Linked DNA regions of Schizosaccharomyces pombe. Changing the gene in region 4 together with the main gene of any one other region gives a genetic interaction. Each region holds a gene or a part of one and is shown on either strand. Other genes may lie near its edges. The genes, in order: bzz1, aip1, myo1 and wsp1.

Region 1 (5,135 bases), on a different chromosome or scaffold from region 4:
CCCCCGTTTCACCGCTGCATCATGGAAATATAAGTCGGGTGCAGTTGGTATTCTCGCTCATAGTATCATTTTACAAGGAACGAATTATGACACTTGTCTAGAGCTTCAAGCAGATGGTCATTATGTTCGTATGGTTGACTTTTACGGTCAACCCAGACTTTACATTCGTTCTCCTGAGGCTGATAGCGAACGCATTATTAATTTCCCCGAAGATGATCCCTATTATAATGAATTTGATGCTTTCTTGGGTGTTGTCCAGGGCAGATATCCTCCTAGCCGCATTTTGTCCAAGTTTGACGACGGCGCTAAGACATACGAGTTGACGAAGATCATTACGAATAATTAAAGTATAGAAGAATTGAACACACAACTTTTTTTTCCTTATATTTTCACCATTTTGGCTTTTTTCTCTTTTTCGTTACCTTTCATGAAAGTTTTCCCTTCGTTATCGGGAATGTTTTTAGACTTAGTTCCAATATCACATGTCGTTTATATGTTTGTTTCAATTTGCAGATTACTTTTGAAAATGTACGATGACATATCACATCCTTCGATTCCTCTCTGTTGTAATGACAATGTGTTTGTATGTATTCGTTAAAAAATTGTTGATCAATTTTCTCGTAACGCGAAACTGTATTCTTCAGTAAACATAAATTTTGGTTACTAACGAAAAAAATATAGCATAGTTCAATTTAAAAAATTTTCCTTAGGCATAGCATTTAGTATAGTTATTATAAATATCTAAAATTCAAAAAAAAAAAGATCAATCTAGCAAAAAAATACTTTGGTGTATCGACCAACTACATTGTAGTGGATAAAAAATCGTAAGTTATTATTGACAATTTGCTTTTCGTAATACATAAAGAAGGTAAAATTTATCAACAATGAAGTAGATAATATTCATATAGATATTTCAATGGTTTATACATCTGTAACATAACTAAGACATATGTTAGTTTTTGTGCAAAGAAATGGAGAAATGAATAAAAAAAAAAAACAAAGACTTACTTAGCTGGGAATTGACCGGTCACTCCATTAAGTATCCCTTCAGACCATCCGTTTCCAGCGTTTCGATTTGTGACCTGAATTATATCACCCTCTTGGATTGATAATTCCATATCGGATTGAGCTGTGTATGCATATAACGCCTTAACATAAGAAGAATCTCCATCAAGTGTCACACTCGTATTTAATTCATCATTCAATTTAACATAAGAAGCTGGAATCAAGCCATCAGTTCCATCGATTTTTACTCGAACCCAACCAGAGCCATCTATATTGATCTATTAGAATGGGATTTTTCAAGCTTTACTTACCATCTGGTTCAAGTAGCGTAAATTCCTGTCCTTCAGAAGCTGTGATTACCCCTTCATGTTCCCCGGTAAAATCGTAAAGAACTACACCGTCAACCTTTGACGCTGGTTCAGCAGGCGTTGTTTCTTCTGTTTTCACGTTGCTTAAGGAAGTTTGATAAATACTACTTGAATCCATATCATCTGTGTATGTGTTACGATAGGATTCATAGGCATTTGAAGACGACGCAGAAGCATCAAAATCATCAGTGGCAGTAACACTGGTATCTACAGCATCATCGTCGGCCACTTCGGGCTCACCATTTTTGCAGTTGGCGGGAACAAGAAGTTCACACCTTGCATGGCATTTGAAGCCACAATCTACACGTGTTTTGTTAGTTAACGAAAGAAAGCAAATATTTCGTACTTTTGCAAACACATCCACGCTTCGATAACCCCCAAATAATTTCACGACAGTAACTGCAACTTGTCGGAAGTTTAAAACTAACATGTTTGAAATCATGAAAACGACCTCCTTCTTCTAAATTATTCGCAACTGACGTGATCTTGTTGATACGAACCTCTAAATCTTCTATTCTGGCCTTTACCATGAGCTCTTTCCCTTCTAGATTTATCGAAGCCTTTTTAGATTCAAATGACTGGTTAGCACTATTTGGATCATCGACGCGTAAACCTTCCAATTGTGAATCTAACGATACAAGCTCGCCTTTCTGTTTTCCAAGGTCATTTTTGGAGTGGACCAGTAAATTTCGGAGGTAGTTTTTACATGAACCATCCACCACCAGTGCATCCGTGTCATGCCAGATAGGACTAGGTTCAAAATGCAAGTCAGCAGGAAGTGCCCAATTCTTTGAATTGTGCCTTCCGAACATGGCAGAATCAAGGACTGGTTCATTTTTTGCAATTTCTGATTGAATTTCAACGGTTCTTTGGGATAAGGTATCATGGAGAGACTTTTCAATTGAAAAGCTGTTACACCATATTTCATTTAAATTCGAAACCCTGTATTCGTTCAATACTTGCATATGATTAAGGAGCGTTGGTAGAGTTTCATTATAAAACTTTTGCTTGTGGGCGTTGTATACAAGCATACGAAGTAGGTATTTATTTTTCTTATCGAGCATATCACTTTCAGATAATTTTAAATTTCTTTGAGTTTTTTGCTCTCGATATTTATCGTTTTTTTGCCTTGCGCTTTCTAAATCATCGCAGGCCTCATGGTAACTGACCTTGGCTCTCTTCACACTGTTTAACAATGTCTCCTTTTCGGATGAGAATTTTTTATATAAATCATCATAAACTTTTCTTAAAGCCTCTATATGAGACTCTAGTTTCTTCAGTTTTTCAGCAATGTCCAATGAATAGTCATCGGATAGCTTTTGATGAGTTTTTGATGAGCGCGTTAACTCATCCAAAATTTTAGACCATGTTGTTAAAGAAGCACTATAAAATTAGCCTGTGAACAGGAATTCAATATCCATCTAACTTCAATTGCTTGACAGGTTCCAATATTTTACATACCATTCTAAAGAGCCAGCAGACATTGCCGGAGTATCTCCGACTGAAAGGGCTGATGATTTTCTGGATTTCTTCTCCCCATATTTATTCGAAAGACTGGCTAATTTCTGAGCATATTCTTTTTCTAGCAACAAAGTTAGTCATTGAAATTTAACCATTGTCGTTTCTTATTTACCAATAGAACTTCTTTCTTTGTAGTACAATTGAATATCTTCAAGCCATTTCGCGCCATTATTAATCTTTGTTACAATGTGTTAATTGTTGAACTGTCTTCATTTTCATTCTTGGCATACCCAACTGTCGACAACTTTAAAATCGTCCTTTTATATATTAGTAAATATGCCAAATAACTAAAACACCTTACGTGAAGTTCATCACTAAATTTGTATGTTTCCAGGCTCATTATCCAGTATTATCTACACGTTTGATATCGCTGCAATAAAAATTTGTACCGGATATAAAACAATTAAAAAGAAAGTTTGACGGAAGAAATTGTGACAATTTTTGGCTTTACGTTACGAATGTTGATGAAAAGGAAGTACGGTGGTGAATCGAAACCTATATTGTTCAACTTTCACTTAAGGAGTAACTTAGCAATCACCAACTACATTGCCCACCAGAAATTGTCATCCAGTTTGCTAAGTCATCCTTGCTGAGTTTGGATATCTGAACTATAAATTTGATTTTTTTTATTTTTTTTACTAAAAAACATCCAAAATGTCAACTACACTGGGACAGGAAAGCAAAACTGACTGGGCTAGTTTGGACTCTGATGAAGAGGTTCAAAGAATTAGTGATAAAGTCAATCAGTTAAATACTTCAGAAAATAAAAATGAAGATCAAAAAGCAACAAATTTAAGTGACAGATTAGGTCCAAAAATCACTGAGAATGTTGATGCAAAATCTGAGCAAGACAAAGCGACCAACACGATTGCAGAGGACGCCAATACGAAGCAATCTGAAAATGATGAATCTAATTTAATACCAAATAAAAACGAGGTTCGTGTAAAATTAGCAGATCTACAGGCTGATCCAAACTCACCTCTTTTTTCTGTTAAAAGTTTTGAAGAGTTGGAGCTCAAGCCCGAATTATTAAAGGGAATTTATTCAATGAAATTCCAAAAACCCTCAAAAATTCAAGAGAAGGCGCTTCCACTTTTACTCTCAAATCCTCCTCGCAATATGATCGGACAATCACAATCCGGAACTGGTAAAACCGCTGCATTTGCATTAACGATGCTTTCTCGTGTTGATGCTTCTGTTCCCAAACCTCAAGCTATCTGCCTCGCTCCTTCTCGTGAATTGGCCCGTCAGATTATGGATGTCGTGACGGAGATGGGCAAATATACTGAAGTAAAAACAGCTTTTGGTATTAAAGACTCCGTCCCTAAAGGTGCAAAAATCGATGCTCAAATTGTAATCGGAACGCCTGGCACTGTGATGGATTTGATGAAGAGAAGACAGCTTGACGCTCGCGATATTAAAGTATTCGTGTTAGATGAGGCAGACAACATGTTAGATCAGCAAGGATTAGGAGATCAATCTATGCGTATCAAGCACCTTCTTCCTAGAAACACTCAGATTGTTCTTTTCAGTGCTACCTTTTCGGAACGCGTTGAAAAGTACGCTGAACGTTTTGCTCCCAATGCTAATGAAATTCGTCTGAAGACTGAGGAGCTTTCTGTTGAGGGAATCAAGCAGTTGTATATGGATTGCCAAAGTGAAGAACATAAATATAATGTTTTAGTGGAATTATATGGGTTATTGACTATTGGTCAATCAATTATATTTTGTAAGAAAAAGGATACCGCTGAAGAAATTGCTAGGCGTATGACTGCAGATGGACACACTGTTGCTTGTCTTACCGGTAATCTGGAAGGTGCACAACGTGACGCTATTATGGATTCATTCCGAGTAGGTACTTCAAAGGTTTTGGTTACTACGAATGTAATTGCTCGGGGTATCGACGTATCGCAAGTCAACTTGGTTGTAAACTATGATATGCCTTTAGATCAAGCAGGAAGACCCGATCCACAAACATATCTTCACCGTATAGGTCGTACCGGTAGGTTCGGCCGTGTTGGAGTAAGTATCAATTTTGTTCACGATAAAAAGAGTTGGGAAGAAATGAACGCCATTCAAGAATACTTCCAACGTCCCATCACGCGAGTGCCTACAGATGACTACGAAGAGCTTGAAAAAGTTGTCAAGAATGCACTTAAAATGTAAAGCATGTTGATTTTTAGAGATTATTTAATACATAGGTTTCTTGGTACCAATTACTAAAGGAATATTATTTACTTA
Region 2 (4,894 bases), 2.9 Mb from region 4:
TGCTAAGGATATACGCTGGTCGCTTAGGAGTCTCTAGTCCCGTGAGGACTGCACCTCATCCTATGGCAATGTCTCTTCCATTTGTACATCATGGCAAAAATAAAGCTCTAGAGTTTGTGACTCGTCATCCTGTACCACATTGTCCATCGGTTGATTTGTATATTAATTCCCCCCAATGTGGTACATTGCATTCTGGTGTTGAATACAAATTTAATGTTTCGGCCTATGCCTGCCAGCCATCTACCTCCATTAGCAATACCAGATTAGCAATACAGACCCCGACGGGAAACATTGTGCGTTTAAGAGAAGAACGATCTGGAAATGGCGTTATTTTTTTCAGCCTTTCCTTAACAATTAATGAAACAGGAGAATACAGAGCTTTAATTTTGGCTGAAAAGATAGGAAGATGGGTAGTCTATGCAACCTGGCAGGCGGTTTAAATAATTTCAAATCTTGCGACTTTATCCTATAAATTTTCCTATAAATAATGTCTGTTCTGTGTAATATTGAAGGTTGATGTTTACAACTAAGTCATTATTCATTTAATGTTTTTAATATATATCTATTACTATTGGAATCGTGATGTCCAAGCTTAACTGTATTCCCTTTGTTTCTTAATTTTAATGATTATAATAATGAGAAAGTTTTAACTATTAGATATGGCATCAGAAAAGCTAACAGTATCTTACAAAAAAAATTTTTTTATTAAAATCTTGCAAAAAATGAGAATTGTACTACGAATTCAAAAGGTCACTGACCATACTTTGATTGCAGCATCACTTCCAGTACTTAAAAGCTCATTTTCAGAAACCCATTCAACTTGGGTAGCTCCCAATGAGTGAGCATTTTTCATCGCAATATATTTCATGGGTCGTTCTACTGAATAAATGTGAATGTTGGTGTCTAATGAAGCGGTCGCTAAATGAGTAGATTTTGCATTCCACGACATTCCTAGAATACGGCCAGTGTGAAACGCCCAGCGAGAAGTAATAACTTCCCGAGAATTGGCGTCATAAAGTACAACCTTCCCTGAGGCATCACCACATGCAAGATACTTTCCATCCGGAGAGTAAGCTAAGCATGTAATCGGTGCTGTTGAATCTTTGCATTGAGCTACTTCACAAAGCTCACCTTTTTCAAGGGTATGGATGTATACACAACAGTCCTAAAAAAGTCAATAATTATATGGAAATTAAAATATGGTATCATACCTCCCCTCCAACGCAAAATTCACTTTTTAAGGGATGCGAAGCAACTGCGCTAGGCTGATAAATAGTCTTGGCTGTAGAAACACCAGTAAGACTACGGAGGACTTGGATATCCGAAACCGTTACCAAAATCAAACAGTCTTCAACCGAGCATACGCCAATAGGTTGGTAGCCAGTTGGAAAAACATTATCTTTCGCGAAACACCCTTGCTTGATATCGATTACCCTTAACGTGTCATCCATGCCAATGGTGATAACATGGTCATCAGCCATTATCATTTGCATGACTTGATTGGTATGACTTTCACCAACCAAAGGGAATGCTTTCTGTTTGCCGATATCCCATGAAAGAACAGTACCATCATATGAGGCAGTATAAAAATGGGTAGCATCAGGTGAAAGTGTAGCGGCAGTGATAGAGCGTTGGTGTCCGTAAATTGTATCAATTACCTTACAGTCCGAAGGATTTAGATATGTTAAGTTTCCCTTTGAGTTAACAACTATTATTAGGTCTTTAGTTGGCCAAACTGTTCCAACTAATTGCTTCTTGTCCGACGAAAGCCATTCGCGAATTAGGGAGCCGGTATTAGCATCCCATATTTTGCAACTGTAACCCGCAGAAGATGTGACAAATTGAGATGAATCTGGAGACCAAGAAATAGAGAAAATGGACCCCTTATGAGCATCAATTTCATAGACCTGATCTCCTGTTTTCCCGTCGAAAACATAAACCTTACCGTCGGCTCCAGCTGAAGCAAATCTTTCATCGTTAGGAGAGTAACGGACATCATAAACGAATTTGGAGTGAACGCGTAAACTTCGGTTGAATCTATAAGGAGTACCGTGAAAAAAATTGATGGAATTATCATCAGATGCAGTAGCAGCACGGAACGGTCTACTCTTGCGCAAAGAAACAGCATTCACTACGCTCGAATGTCCAAAAATCTGTAACCGTTAACATTTTAAGGAAGTTGGAGACTAATAAAACCCTTACTTCACCAACAGAATTACCAGAGTCAGCGGTGAACGCGTGTCCATATCTGTTAAAAGTAAGATTAGCAAGAGTCAACAAATATTGGAATTTTTGAAATTATGAGTAAATCCAATAATTTAACACATCCTTCGAAAACAATAGAAATCACTTACCGCTCTTTACCCTCACCAACAGCTATTATTCTCTGACTGTCTCCGTCTTTTCATCAATTAGCATATTGAAACTTGAACAGGCTTACCCCAGTCTAAATCAGTAATTCGTCCGCTAATAGCAGTAACTTGGTTCTTTAAAATTTTATCTTCTCCAGCACAATCCCATATGCGGACGTTACCTTGATTGTCTATAGTTGATCATTAGTAACGTTTAAAAATAAAAACTTAAGAAATAATAGCAATAATTAGCATTCGTACCGCCAGAAGCTACATAATATCCAGAAGGGCTAAATCGTGCTACAGTTGTAGGAGCAGTATGCTCATTATATTGAAAGCAGTTTTCCTGTTTCTCAATTTCACGAATTATTATCGCTTTGTTAGCCTAAAAACTATTTAGTAAATGTTCTTTAATCGACCAATTCATACGGATTCGACAAACTTACGGGATAAACAATCCTTTCACCTTTAAAATCAGTGCCAATTTTACAAGGCTGTGAAGGTTTTGTTGAAGGAACTGGCGCCCAAGTTGATTTTAACTGAGAAGACATTGCTCTGTTTTTAATTTATTGTAAGTAGCGAAGATGTGGTTCTATGCAGATGGAGCGTGCTACTAGGAGATATTTGACAATGAAACGAGCAACAGATTACCATATTAAAGAGGCGTATACTTTAGCAGTACATGTCATTGGAATATATGATTTATATAGGGATTAATTTTAATACTACCGTAGAAATCACTTTTTGCAACAATACACAGAAGAACGTTTTTATACTAATGCGGTCAAATAATAACCTAAAACAGTACAATATGACTTTAACGAACATGAATATCAAAATGAAAATTGATGAGTAATTAAAGAAGTAGATATCATGAAAAAAATTTAAGCAAAATTAAAATATCAGTTACTTTGCTTCTTTGAATTTTTCTTACTACGGTTAAGTTCCTTGAGCTTTTTATAATGAGAATTAGGTCGAATGGTTGAAGCTGAAGTAGTAGCAACAGCTCGTCTTGATACATCCTTCTGCAATTGCTCATACTGAGTTTTAAAACCGTCACGAACTCCTTTGTAAAACTCTTTTAAGGATTTAATAGGGTTTGTAATCAAAGTAAAGCCTGAAGGTTGCTTTTCTATTATTGATGGTAGCGGAGCGAAGCCAAGTTTACTTCGAACAACGGGATTTTTTAGAATATAACCTTGCACTATATTAAACAGACTGCTGGGTATCCAATACATAAATATTGCCTATTTGATCTTTGGTTAGTTATTCTTCTAAGATAAAGGCTTAAAACAGATTTGACTATTTTGAAAATTCACGTACGGCTGGAAGTTTAGCAGTTAAGAGAGGGCTTAAAAGACAGCACAAAAAGAAAAAAGTTCTCCAGTTGGTAGAATTCCCTATAGTAGATGCAGTATTTGCACGATTCATCTGCATTCCAGAAAACATAAGTCCGGCATTAATAATGGGAAGAATGCAATAAGGATCAGGTATTGACAAATCTTTAAACCATGCAAGTCCTCCAGTGGTAAAACCGTCTACCGACAAACGAGACATCTTTCTAATTGCATAAAAAAAACTAAAGAAAACGGCACTCTGGGTCAAAGGAAGAATAAATATAGCAAAAGGATTAACATTGTGCTTTAAATATATGCCTCGCAAGGCAATGCTATGTTGATTTAAAGCAAGCTGATCATTATCCAGTTTTGCTGTTTTAATCGCCTCTAGTTCTTTTTTCATCTCAGGCTGTATAACGGACAGCTTCGTGCTATTACGAAATGAAGCTATCATAACTGGAGTAAGGGCCAAACGAACCCCCAAAGTTGTGAGTATGATAGAAACCCACCAAGGAGCTCCTGCATATACATTAATCGTGTAAGCAGTATTTTGGATTAGAGCATAAGGCCACCACGATGGGTTGAACCCAGAAGTAGCTGTACTAACTTCAGCGAGTACATTGGTAGAAGAGGGTCGAAATTGAAACCCCAATCTTTTTGATAGAATAGTTTTAGATTGTAATCTTTTTCTCAGAAAACTAGAAGTGGAGTTAAAATGGGGGCTTCCAGCGCATCGCCTAAATTGGTCAATTACCAAGCATTCAATATATCAAGTTTTTATAGTTTTTTTGTAAACACTTACGTTGAAGGTCTAATTAGAAAATGTAACATTGCTTCAACTAATAGTTTATAATTCGAGATTAACTAGTCTTCAAAAATAGATTAGTCCATATGATAATATATATTATACGATCGGGAGAAGTTAAGTCGTCCTTCATATTCTTATACGGGTGGATTTAAGTGGACAAGGTGCTTGTGTTAAATCAATGATATACATTTATTGTTTGGATTTTTATTTTTTTATTTTTTTTTTTTTATTTGATAATATTTCGCCCAAACGAACGTGTTGCATTTCATTAAGTTTCTGGATTTTTCATGGTATGTGCATATTATTACGACAGTTTGACTATTTAGAACCAAATAAATGTTAGCAAAATAACAACAAAAGAAATACATAGAGAGAATTGAATTTTTTATAAATTATTC
Region 3 (6,417 bases), on a different chromosome or scaffold from region 4:
GGTTCTAGGGCGGCATTTCCGTTGAGACTTGCCCATGTTGATGAATATGTAAAAGAAGGAATTGCCCTTTGCGGGGACGCTGCTCATAACACTCATCCATTAGCTGGACAGGGATTAAATACTGGAATTCAGGATGTTGAATCTTTAATATCAGCACTCTCTTTTGCTATCAAGCACGGTCAGGATATTGGTAGTGTTTTTTCACTCCAACCGTATTTCCGTGACCGTTACTTCAAAAACCATGTTTATCTAGGAGTCGTTGATAAGTTCCACAAGCTGTACGCAATGGAAAATCCGGTGGTCACTTCTGTACGAACCCTTGGACTTTCATTATTTGATCGCAGTGCTAGCTTGAAAAACTTCATTCTTTCTACGGTAGCTAATGGAATTTAGTATTGTCGAAGTCTACTATACTATATTTACGTTTTACCACTGGAGCTGACTAATTTATTCAAACAATAAACAAGATAATGATTTTAATATTATTACAGAAGCTATCACTTTTGTCCCATTTATAAGTATACGCTATGCAATGTATCAACTATATTTCACAATTAAATTACTATTTAGCTTTGCTTAATCAAAGTCGTCGACGAAGAGTATTCTCAATCTATCACAATAAAACATGCAAGAAGCAAATACTAGAAGCTTTCATTGATAGCTAAAAAACATGCGATAGGAGAGACTATAGTTGTCACAAGCCATTCATTATTGCAAATTAAGAATCAAGCAATGTACTGGCCGTATTATATATACATCATAATGAAAGCTCACCAATCTTCTTCTTCATCACTACCACGCACAGCTGATGCTCGCATGCGCAAGGCATCAGCAAGTGAACCAGCTAAGTTGTTGACTTCAGCTGGACTAGCATTATTATTCGCTTGAGCTGCAACATTAGTCGAAGAAGCGGTGGTTTGAGGTGTAGAACCTTTGTATTCTGTCACATAGGTTGCGGGAACCCATCCTTCAGCACCATTCTTTAAAGCAAGCCACCACCCGCTTGGCTCCTTTTGAACAATTTCTATAATTTCGTCTTTCTTGATAGTCATTTCATTTGGACTGCGTCCCGCAAAGTCATATAAGGCCAAGTACAAGTCTTTCTTTTCGACTTCAGCGGGAGGAGGAGGAGGAGGAGGAGGAACAGCACTAGGCTTGCTGACGTTATTAGCAACTGGAGCAGAGGGTTTAGAGATATTGCTTGGAGAAGAAGCTGCAGAAGTTACCGTGGAAGGAGCTGGTTTAGAAGCAGAAACAGTGGTTGCTTGCTTAATAGTTGTAGTCGTACTTGTAACTGGGGCTGCAGCTTGAGTTGTATTAGGACGAGCTTGCATAGCAGGAGCAGGGGGACGATTTTGGGTTTGTTGAGCAGTACTTACGGGATTAGCCATAGGAGCAGGTTTGCTCTTCGCAGCCGGCATAGATACGGGCTTTGTAGCAGCAGGTTTGTTCTGCACAACTGGGCGAGGCCCTCTAGCAGCTGCTGTACTACCACCAGTTGCTAAGCGAGGGAAAGGCTTACTCTTACTGGTAGGAGGCAAGCCAGTACCAACATGAATAGTTCCACTCTTGTAGTAGTCATAATCCTTAGTGGTTTCGTCTTTTGCCGTCTTAACAGTTTGTACCTTGCCAGGCTTTCGGCAGTATTGAATGGTGGGACCCACGATAACTTGAATATTACGATTGATTCTCTTTAAGGTAGTTATAAATTCTGTTTTGAAAAAGCATCGCAAAAACATATCTCCATTTTGGCTGGACTTATTACGAATTGCAACCCAATCATCTTGCAAATTTGTAAGACCAACAGAATCGATGGAAGATACAGCGAACTTCTTCTCCACCTGTTGTGTGAGCTTTTGGTCAACAATTTTTGTAATCACCAAATATAAATTCTTTTTGGTAAGAACCAGTTGACGAGGAGAAGGTTTGGAAGTGCGGCCTAGCTTATGAACAAGGACCTCACATCTCATTGAGAAAATTACGTGATCGTTTTGAGAGAGGCCGCATGTGTTCCATAGAGTACCATTAGGCTTTGAAGCTGATAGATAATCTCCATAAAACTTACGGGATCCCAAAATACTATATCTTCTGCGTTGCTTTTTACCTTGCAAAAGTTTAGTACCCTCATTACGAACACGTTCAAGTTCCATGTTAACTTTGTTCCTATTCCACAACTTCTGAATACAAGCAGCAGCTTCAGATCTTCTTCTAACATAAGAACGCCAAGCACGTTGTATACGGGTTGCCATTGTATCCCAAAACTTATCACGCATGTCTTCGAGCGCGAATAAGGTCTCCGGATTTTTAATGAAAACTTTGCTAGTACCCATTTGGTATTCAGATGAAGGAATATTGGTATCTTTCAAAATCTGTTCGCAAGCAGACTTATCATCACCCTGCCAAGTGTATTCTCCTGCATAACTGGTTTTACCACTAAGAACTGCAAAACGCTGAGCAAACGTATCGAAAGCTTGACGATAAGCAAAACCAGCACGACGAATACGAATGTTTTCTTGCAAACCTAAATATTTGATTTGATGTAAAACCATCTGCTGATCGTAATCGTTAGGCGACTTAGTCTGATTGGGTTTAATCGTACGTATATACGATGGTTGACATTTCATAAGAGTCTCTACTAAATCATTAGCAGAAGTTTTGATACGATCACCAGCTGTAGGAGGACGACGACGGGAGTTACTCTCTTCAGCCACTGGGAAAATAGATTTCATGAACTCGTTGTTGGAAGAATGAATAAGGTTAAGAATATCAGTTGCTAACTGATCCTTATTCTTATCGGTCATTCCTGTAATGCTGTAGGTTACATCACCAGCGTAATGTTTGACTATAAATTGATTTTGTCTCTGTTCAAAATGTGGATTGGAGGATAAAAAGTTTAACCGCTGAGCAAAAGCACTATCCGCCGCAGCAGAGTCAGCATGAGCGGTAGCGATAGCGTCGTTCATTGCTGCGAAAAGACCAGGAGGTCGTTTGGATTCAATCAAATCACATACAACTTTATTGTTGAAATATTTGATAGGAGTCCAAGCAATTTGCTCACGCACGTATTCTTCCTGTTCAGTTTTCAAAGTAAGTTCTATAAAAATTTGTTGCAATTTTTCATTAACATAGTTAATGCACAATTGTTCAAAAGAGTTGTTTTCAAAGATTTCAAAGCCGTAAATATCTAAAATACCAATCGAATTGGAAACGCTGTTGTCTGATGTGACCAAAGCTTTGTTGACACGTTCGACAATCCAATCAAAAAGACAGTTATAAATCGCCATAGACAAAGCATCACGAACAGCCAAAGCTTGTGTTGGATTTAAGGGGACTTCATATACAGATCCGCGCCTTGCACCATGCTGAGTTTGCATAATACGAATTGTCAAGGCACGCTCAATAGCCGCAACAGGAACACCGATCAAATAGCCTAAAAATTCGGTGATGCTCTTGTCAGAAATCACGCTACCACCATCTTGGCCTTCTTGAAATTGAATATTTCCTAACCAAAGGATGATAGAAAGCATCCTAAATATTTCATCTTGCTCCGGCTCGGTGATACCAATAACCTTCATGGCGTTCATCGTTCCTTGGAAGTCCTTCTCATCTGAAATCCCATCAACCGACAAACATTGACAAGCAGAAGTGTAAACATAATTCTCCGGACCTTGAATGCCATATGTATCACGATATTTCTGAGGAGCGCTCTTGGTGAATTGATAGAAAATATGGAAATTACGCTCATTGCGAACTTGATTAACAATTCGGTTCTTTTCTAATAAGTAGTTCGTAATTTTAGCGCCGACAGGAACACCTCCGGAATTAAAAATCATTTCTAAATACTTTCCATGACGAGAAGAATTATTATTGCGAAGAGTTTTTGCACAACCAAAACTTTCCAATAAAGGATTGGTAGCTAAAATAATTTCGGAAACTCTTTCAATTTCAGTGCCAACGGACTTTGAAACATGTGTAATATATTGCATGATCCTTTTTGCAGCCTCAGTCTTACCAGCACCCGATTCACCAGAAATGATAATACATTGATTCTCATGATAAGACTTCATTTGATAGTAAGCGTTCTCAGCAATTGCATAAACGTGAGGGCTCGTTTCCAAACGGTTTTTTCCTTGATATGATTTCAAAATATCCATCGTATAAATACCCAGGTCTCGAAATGGATTTACAGAAATCAACACATGTCCAATATATGTATAAATCTCTCCATTGCGAAATCTCAGTTCCAAGTTTTTGTTAATTTCCTCATCTGTAATTTTCGAAAGTAGGGTTAAATCATCAACACCCACAGTCTTTTTGCGTGTGCTGGTATAAACAGCCTTTTTAATACCATTGCTTTTCCCAGTGCTATTGGGAGCAGCTGCAGTCGCAGCTTTCGCGCGGTTTGTTCTCTTAAGGATGGCCTAATTTATTAATTAGCTAACATTCGGCATGCATATTTACTTACCATAAAATCTATTCACTTATGGCCGAACAAGAGATAGGTTAACGACAAGTCCGCACTTACGTGTAGGTTTCTTCTAATACTGAGATAATTGCGTTACGGATCGTTAAAATGAGCGAAATATGAGTTTCTAGGTCAATATTGCCAAAGACCGTTCGAAACTTCAGACCCCAATTATTAAAATTGTACTTTAGCTGAAAATTGAATATACTTTAGCTTTCTGTCGTTTGCTTCATCCATTTTTGGTATTGACATTAAAACAATTACCTAGCCGAAAGAGGCTTGTTATGTAACATACTCGAACGAAACTTATCCAAATGTGTTTTAGGGTAACTTCATTAGGTAAGGTAACGAACACACTAAAGGTATGAAATTTGCGACTAATTATGATGAAGTGATAAACATAACGCGCTTGAATTAGTTAATACTTGATTTGATTATTGTGTGTTCATGTAGTCGATAAGATGAATTAAATGAACATGAATTTTCAATTATGAATATTTTAAGTCGAAGATACCTTTCATAAAGCGAGAAGTTTTGAAGTATTTTAGATATAACGGCTATCGCCGTTTCAAGAACCAAAGCAGCCGCAGATTATTATAACGCGACATAAAAGGTTGAATTCCCCAGCAAATACAACTGTAGTTCTCGTATTGACCTTGAGTATATTCTATGACAATTAACTTATTACAGATATTAGGATGTAACACAATATGAGAGAAGCTATATGATTTGCAGTAACTTAAACATAATCATCTGTTTATATCATTTATAAAAGAATACAAACAGTGATTTATAGACAACGTTTGTGAGTGCCATAATTAATTGAAATAACGGGGTTTATATATAATACCAAACTAAATGCACGAGATGAAAGCTAATCTACTTGCCTGTTACAGAGAAATACAAGGTACACAACTTTAGTAATGTCAGGATATCAAGTAGTGAGAACATGACAAGGCAGGCTCCTTTTAATTGCGAAATCGTAGAAATATCATAAGGAGCTAAATAAAGAACGGCAGGAAAGGTATTTACAACAAGAGTAATAAAACAGCGTATCAGATATCGATTTAGCGAAATATTAGACACATGATATACCTACTAAATCAGCATCCATAACAGCTTTCCCATTGTGAATTTAATCCATCAAGAAATTTAAAGAGTGGATAACATTCCTTATATAATTCTACTCTAAACAAATGCACCCAAGCTAAGGGCAATGCCTTGAGTTTTTGAACGAATGCGAACATGTCCTGAGATAGGACCGGAGACGGATTTTTCAACGCTAAGACTCATAAGTGCGTCTTCCCCAAAAATACTGCAGGCGTACAAATTAGCACTCAAAAAACCACAGTCACCACGCAGAGACGCGTCTGGAGTAAGACAGTTCATATTGGTTTTCTTCATTATTTTATGTAAGAAATCGTACAGACTAATGTCTTCGTTGGAAGAAATATCGACCTTGTTTTCCCATTCAAATTCCGTCCACATGCTACGGAATTGAGATTCGGGAATGAATGCGGGTTTTATATAATCAATAATGTTGACTGGAATGCCATTCAAAACAACAATTTTGTCTTCGTCGGATGCTTTACCACCATACACGATATTTCCAAAGATTACTGCAGACTCCGTTGAAGATACCTTTACCGTAGCCTGAACAGATTTAAAGGCATGAGGTCCTAAATTCATGGGTGGTGGACGCTCTACAACCTTAAGATCTCCCAACGTAGCCAAATCAACAGAGAGATTCTGTAACGTGGTATCCGTTCGATTAACCAATAATATGTCTAGAATAATATCAAATTGTTGTATCTTCACATATGCCTCACAGTAAACAGGATCTGTAAAACCGGCTAATTGTACGATATGATCTAATTTAGATGCCAAATCTTCCACTACCATACCATCGTTGGTGGCTTGTATGATGTCGGACTCAAAATTAAGATCCTGCT
Region 4 (4,960 bases):
CCTTCACTGACCTTTAATTGCTCAGCCATTTGACGAAGGGCAGTCAAGGATTCAGGACCAAGGTTGTTCAAAATGCCAGGCAAAATCTCAGACAAAGTCTTTTCCTCTGCTTTACCATAGATAGCTGTAGTTTCATTAGGAAGCGAGGAATGAACGGTAGGTGCACGGAAATTAATGACTCCGCCATCTTCCTTGAACATGTTAACCTCTTGGATGCCAGCAAGGTTTTGCATATTCAACTTTTTCAAGGCACCTTGAACCTTCTTGTCATCAGCAGCACTCATGGCAGACTTAGAAGGCTTCTTCACCTTACGACGAGGGGTACCCTTTCCACCTATACAATGATAAGTTAATTAAGCAGTTCTCTATGAAAAAAGTACAACTGTGTTTTCAATAGCCAGCATCAATTACAGTGGAACCACTTTGAAACCGTTCAAGGCATTTCTTAGAGCTGGTGTCAACTTCAAAACACGGGGATGCATTCGAACATACCAATACGAGCGCCAGCCTGCAACTTAGCCAATTTGGAGGGATCCATTTGTTTCTATTTGACCAAACGTTTTTGGTTGTGGAAGGACTTGAACTTGACGTTTCTAAAGTTGTGGTACCGAAATGTGTGACTGCTCCCATACTTACAATAAAGTAAAGATACACACTGTGTTGCGATATATGAATAGTAATATCAACACAAATTCGCGTTATTCAATTTAGAATAAATGGTGTTTGCTCTAATACAATAAACACAAATCCAAATAAAAATAGTGAAGTCGTTTAACAAAACTTTAAAAGACTGTGTGAATCAAAAAAGTATAGGTAATTTCAAAGATATTAATAACTAGTCCCACTCATCGTCGTCTTCATCCTCTTCGTCTGAAAGAATTAGTAAACTTAAGAACTTTTGAAAAAAAATACGAGAAATCCGGACATACCACTCTGAGCGACTTTGGTTTTACGTTGGTTCAAAGCGCTTGCCAATGCATCCATAAGATTGTTAGAAGGGGGTGCTTCTACCGGAGGATTCGAAGTTTTTGTAGATGCGACACTAGGAGAAGCAGATACTTTCTGGAAAATATTAGTACGAGTAACCATTAAGTAATAATATCAATACTTACCCTGCTTTTCAGTAAATCCATACCACCGCTGGCTCTGATACTGGCCATTAAATTAGCACGGCCGTCTTGTTGAGGCAATTCAGCTATCGAAGCAACAGGCGCGGCGGGCGCAGGAGCTGGAGCTGGAGGAGGAGCTGGTGCAGCGGGAGGCAATGGTGGAGCAGCTGGCATACCAGCGGGTAGAGGAGGAGCAATTGGTGCACTAGGTGGTAGGGGGGGAGCAGCTGGTGCGCCCATAGGTAGAGAAGGTGGTGCACTGGGGGGCAAAGATGGAGGTGCACTAGGAGGAAGAGAAGGAGGTGTAGGGACAGGAGGTGTGCTTGTTCGTGATGCATTACCAAGAGGGGGAAGTGCAGGCGCAGAACGACCAGGAATAGCTGGAGGAGGGGCTGGTGGGTTTGAAACTGCACGAGATGAAGATAAAGGGGGTGGTTGTCTCCCAGTGGAAGGAGCAGACCTTGGAGGAGGTGGAGGAGGAGCAGATCTACCTTGAGGCGGCAAAGGAATTGAGCCAGCAGCATTAGATCTAGGAGGTGGTGGAGGTGGAGGAAGAGACGAGTTAGAAGAACCATTACCAATCGGTGGTTTACCACGATTACGACGGGATGGAGGCGGAGGCGGAGGAGGTCGTTTTTTGTTAGCAGCTAGAGCTGCCGCACTGACTCTTGAAGATGGTGGAGGGAGTGGAGGTTTCGAGGTGGAATTAATAGCAGGATTCATCGAAACAGGAGCGATAGGACGGGGAGGGGAGTTAGGAGGAGAAGAGACAGTTCCATTAGATGGAGGTGGAATTGGGGGAGGAGCAGGTGCAGACAAAGAAGGAACACGCTCTGGGGGACGAGAGGAAGGAATGCTTGGAGGGATGGGAGGTGCAGAAGTACTGGTAGGTGTACCAGCTGATTCATTAAGGTACGCTTTGACGAAATCTGCGTTTTCAGCAATTTGATCCTGGGAAATGCCCATCTTCATTAGAGAATCAATTAAGCTCGGATCAAGCGAATTTAAAAGCTCGGGCTCATTGGGACTTTTAGATCCAACAGCATTATAATTTTCCTTTCCAGGTACAGGAGGAGCAGCTGAGGGAGGTTGGATATTGCTGTTGTTAGGCGCATGTCTAGAAGAACCTTTTCTGGTAATAAATGACAAAACCGGATTCTCAATTGATTCAGGATGGCAACCTTTATCTAAAACCTTTTTGTAAAATTTTTGAGCGTCTGTCTCGTTTGCAAAACTAAAACCTGCTAGGCATTTATCAAGCTCGAAAGAATGAAAAAATGTACGATCTTGGCGATAGTCCATATTTTGATAAAGCTCTTGGTCCCATATTATACCACTATTATTCTAAAACGTTAGAAGGTTATAATTCAATTAAATTGTATACCACTCTTTGTAGTTTGCTTTGAGTATCAAAGCTTCATACACATACCACAACGTCAACCAGTTTAAACCAACAGCATTTTGCTGTTGTATCATAGGACAATACAAGAGCACCACAAAGACCTGTATAATTCCATTTGTTCGGATCAGGATAAGCTACATATAGCTTGACGACGGCTGCTGCAATGATTTTATTTGTGCTTTTAGGTATGTATTTACGGATAGTTGCCTTATCCTCTTGAGTTATAGAGGAAGATGGAGGCATTTGAATTTTCGGATTGTAATGCAATTCAAAAATTGCTGTCTCACAGTGGTATAAGTGGTGTTTTGGTTCCTCCCGTTTGTTAGCATTTTCACTGTAGTTAACAAGCCAATGAGTGATAATTAGTGTAGTATACTATACTACGCTATGTACTATAAAAATTTGCAACGCACTTATTAGCAGCTGGTAAATTTTGCTAATTATATTAACTGTTTATAGATTAATAAAACTTGAGACATTAATTCGGGTTTAATATTTTTTACATTCTACATACTTATCGTCCTCATTGTAAAGAGGTAAATAAAATTTATTCAACCATACGAAGTTTGCTTGTCTCATAATGTTAGTTTATTATAAGATTATTAAAAAAATGACTTAATCATAATCATTAATTATTAGAAAAAAAAGGGAACATTAAGAAAAAGTCATTCGTGATGTTGAGGATAATAAAAAGACTCTCGTCCGGTAGGAGTAGTATAACTACATAAACAAACAGTGCGAACTCAGATGTATGGCTACTTATTAGAATCATCGAATGAAACTGAAGTAACAATACCGGAATTTTTTTTCGAACTTAATGGGTCGTTACATTGTTCGCACATTTCTATATCTGTTGCAAATGATGAACTACTGCTAGTCTCATCATCTGACTTTGCACAAAGTCGTCTCCGTAAAAGGTCAATATCTCTAGGATAAAACAATTTTTGTAAGCAAATATAGGAAAAGCGAGGCAACAAACATAAGGCAATGGTTAAAACAGTAACACACCAAAAGCCAAAAGTTTGACAAGTTCGCGAAGCTGATTTGTGGAAAGCGTAAGAGGGGCCAACTTCTGAATAAATAAATGTCCATATCCAAAATACACCTATGCTGAACATCCAAGTAATAAGTGATATTAAATTCAATCTCTCTTGATTCATCAATATAAAAATGTTGATTACAAAAATAGTAGGAGAGGATATAAAAAGTCCTATGTCTTCTATACACTCGATGTTCCTTCCAGTCCAACTTACAAAATCACCAAACTTAAAAACAAATAGAGCTACCCCAAAGCATACCAATGATTGATATATTCCATCTAGCATGTAAGACCTAAAATAAATATTTAGCAAACAGAAATCTTCAGAGTTATACTTACCAAAATCTCTTTCCGTTCCATTCTAGACCTAAAATTCCCCGTTGGTATAAGCTTGGATTTTTCATTGAAACAGATGCGTCAACGTCCTGGTCAAAACAACCTGCAATAATTACGGGTAGTGATGTGAACAGCAGATTAAAAAGCATCACGTAGGTATAATCAAATATGTAGTTTCCATCAAACTCGTTATAAAATTGATACCAAAAAAGTATAAATGTCCAAATAACATTTTTGTAAAAAAAGAATGAAATCATTTGAGACATTCTTTTATAGTCCCATCGTCCATGAACTAGAAGTAGTCGCCCTAGGAAAGAAAATTGACCGATGGCATAATCCGCCGACATTGAAGCTGCTTGCCCTTCAACGCCTTTTATCCCTACTCCAACGTCGGCTTCTTGAATCATCGAAACATCATTAGCGCCATCTCCAATTGCTAAAGTGACAACATTTAGACTCTTCTTGACTAAAGCAACAACAGCTGCCTTCTGAGAGGGACTAACCCTGCAGCACAAAACTGTCTTACACTGCTTACATAACATTAAAAAAAGAAAAGAGACCTGTTCAGACAAAACAAAGTTCAGGGCATCCCCATCAATAACTATGGCGTGTTTCGGAGATGGCGGACTGTGGTCTTTCAACAAAAATCTGAATTCTTCATCCGTTCCCATGTATCCAAAATTAAAGCATAATGTGTTTCTAATAAAAGCTTCTACTTCTTCTAAGGCACCGAAAGAGTTTGCATCAATTCGAAAAATAGTCATGTTTGGATCAAGAAGATTGCATGAATACCCAATGTTGATTGCCGTTTCTACCTTATCACCAGTCAACACCCACAACTTAATTCCAGCAATAGCCAAAAGAGCGATAGTTTCTGGTACATTCTCTTGAAGTTTATCTTCAATTGCTGTTCCACCGAGTAATTCAAGCTCTTGCTCAATCATCTCTGAAACTTTACTGACCTTTTCGTTCCGTTCATGAATGGCACTATTAGCTTCGTTGAAATTCACTTTCCATTCAAGATAATCTTGCTTATCAATAGTTCGACGAGCGATACATAACGTACGAAATCCT

Evidence for each region.
Region 1: of wsp1 (region 4) and bzz1, a mutation in one rescues a mutant of the other (synthetic rescue), as found in Schizosaccharomyces pombe (one study listed by BioGRID).
Region 2: of wsp1 (region 4) and aip1, a mutation in one rescues a mutant of the other (synthetic rescue), as found in Schizosaccharomyces pombe (one study listed by BioGRID).
Region 3: mutations in wsp1 (region 4) and myo1 are lethal when combined (synthetic lethality), as found in Schizosaccharomyces pombe (2 studies listed by BioGRID).

The regions. Positions count from the first base shown.
Region 1 is NC_003423.3:2,464,272-2,469,406, reverse strand, and holds bzz1 (diacylglycerol-binding protein Bzz1), read right to left. Parts: upstream 3,380-5,135; 5' UTR 3,235-3,379; coding exon 3,196-3,234; exon of another isoform or gene 3,152-3,195; coding exon 3,125-3,151; exon of another isoform or gene 3,071-3,124; coding exon 3,007-3,070; exon of another isoform or gene 2,956-3,006; coding exon 2,835-2,955; exon of another isoform or gene 2,757-2,834; coding exon 1,720-2,756; exon of another isoform or gene 1,674-1,719; coding exon 1,317-1,673; intron 1,274-1,316; coding exon 1,009-1,273; intron 941-1,008; coding exon 922-940; 3' UTR 668-921; downstream 1-667. Other genes in the region: SPOM_SPBC12C2.04 (NAD-binding dehydrogenase family protein), read left to right, coding at 1-346; ATP-dependent RNA helicase Dbp5, read left to right, coding at 3,549-5,060. UniProt on the Schizosaccharomyces pombe protein: Plays a role in endocytosis and trafficking to the vacuole. Functions with type I myosins to restore polarity of the actin cytoskeleton after NaCl stress.
Region 2 is NC_003424.3:1,974,910-1,979,803, reverse strand, and holds aip1 (actin cortical patch component Aip1), read right to left. Parts: upstream 2,948-4,894; 5' UTR 2,903-2,947; coding exon 2,798-2,902; exon of another isoform or gene 2,737-2,797; coding exon 2,613-2,736; exon of another isoform or gene 2,543-2,612; coding exon 2,441-2,542; exon of another isoform or gene 2,401-2,440; coding exon 2,355-2,400; exon of another isoform or gene 2,249-2,354; coding exon 2,203-2,248; exon of another isoform or gene 2,154-2,202; coding exon 1,212-2,153; exon of another isoform or gene 1,166-1,211; coding exon 743-1,165; 3' UTR 595-742; downstream 1-594. Other genes in the region: cytokinesis protein Cyk3, read left to right, coding at 1-440; translocase Oxa101, read right to left, coding at 3,254-3,598, 3,675-4,425, 4,491-4,519.
Region 3 is NC_003423.3:1,023,463-1,029,879, forward strand, and holds myo1 (myosin I myo1), read right to left. Parts: upstream 4,512-6,417; 5' UTR 4,469-4,511; coding exon 4,466-4,468; intron 4,422-4,465; coding exon 771-4,421; 3' UTR 501-770; downstream 1-500. Other genes in the region: monooxygenase Coq6, read left to right, coding at 1-393; coatomer beta subunit Sec26, read right to left, coding at 5,654-6,417. UniProt on the Schizosaccharomyces pombe protein: Type-I myosin implicated in the organization of the actin cytoskeleton. Required for proper actin cytoskeleton polarization.
Region 4 is NC_003424.3:4,860,695-4,865,654, forward strand, and holds wsp1 (actin assembly factor), read right to left. Parts: upstream 2,814-4,960; 5' UTR 2,755-2,813; coding exon 2,539-2,754; exon of another isoform or gene 2,454-2,538; coding exon 1,113-2,453; exon of another isoform or gene 1,063-1,112; coding exon 930-1,062; exon of another isoform or gene 871-929; coding exon 836-870; 3' UTR 559-835; downstream 1-558. Other genes in the region: btf3 (nascent polypeptide-associated complex beta subunit), read right to left, coding at 1-334, 493-538; SPOM_SPAC4F10.16C (P-type ATPase), read right to left, coding at 3,267-3,843, 3,890-4,960. UniProt on the Schizosaccharomyces pombe protein: Has a role in regulating actin assembly, so regulating polarized growth.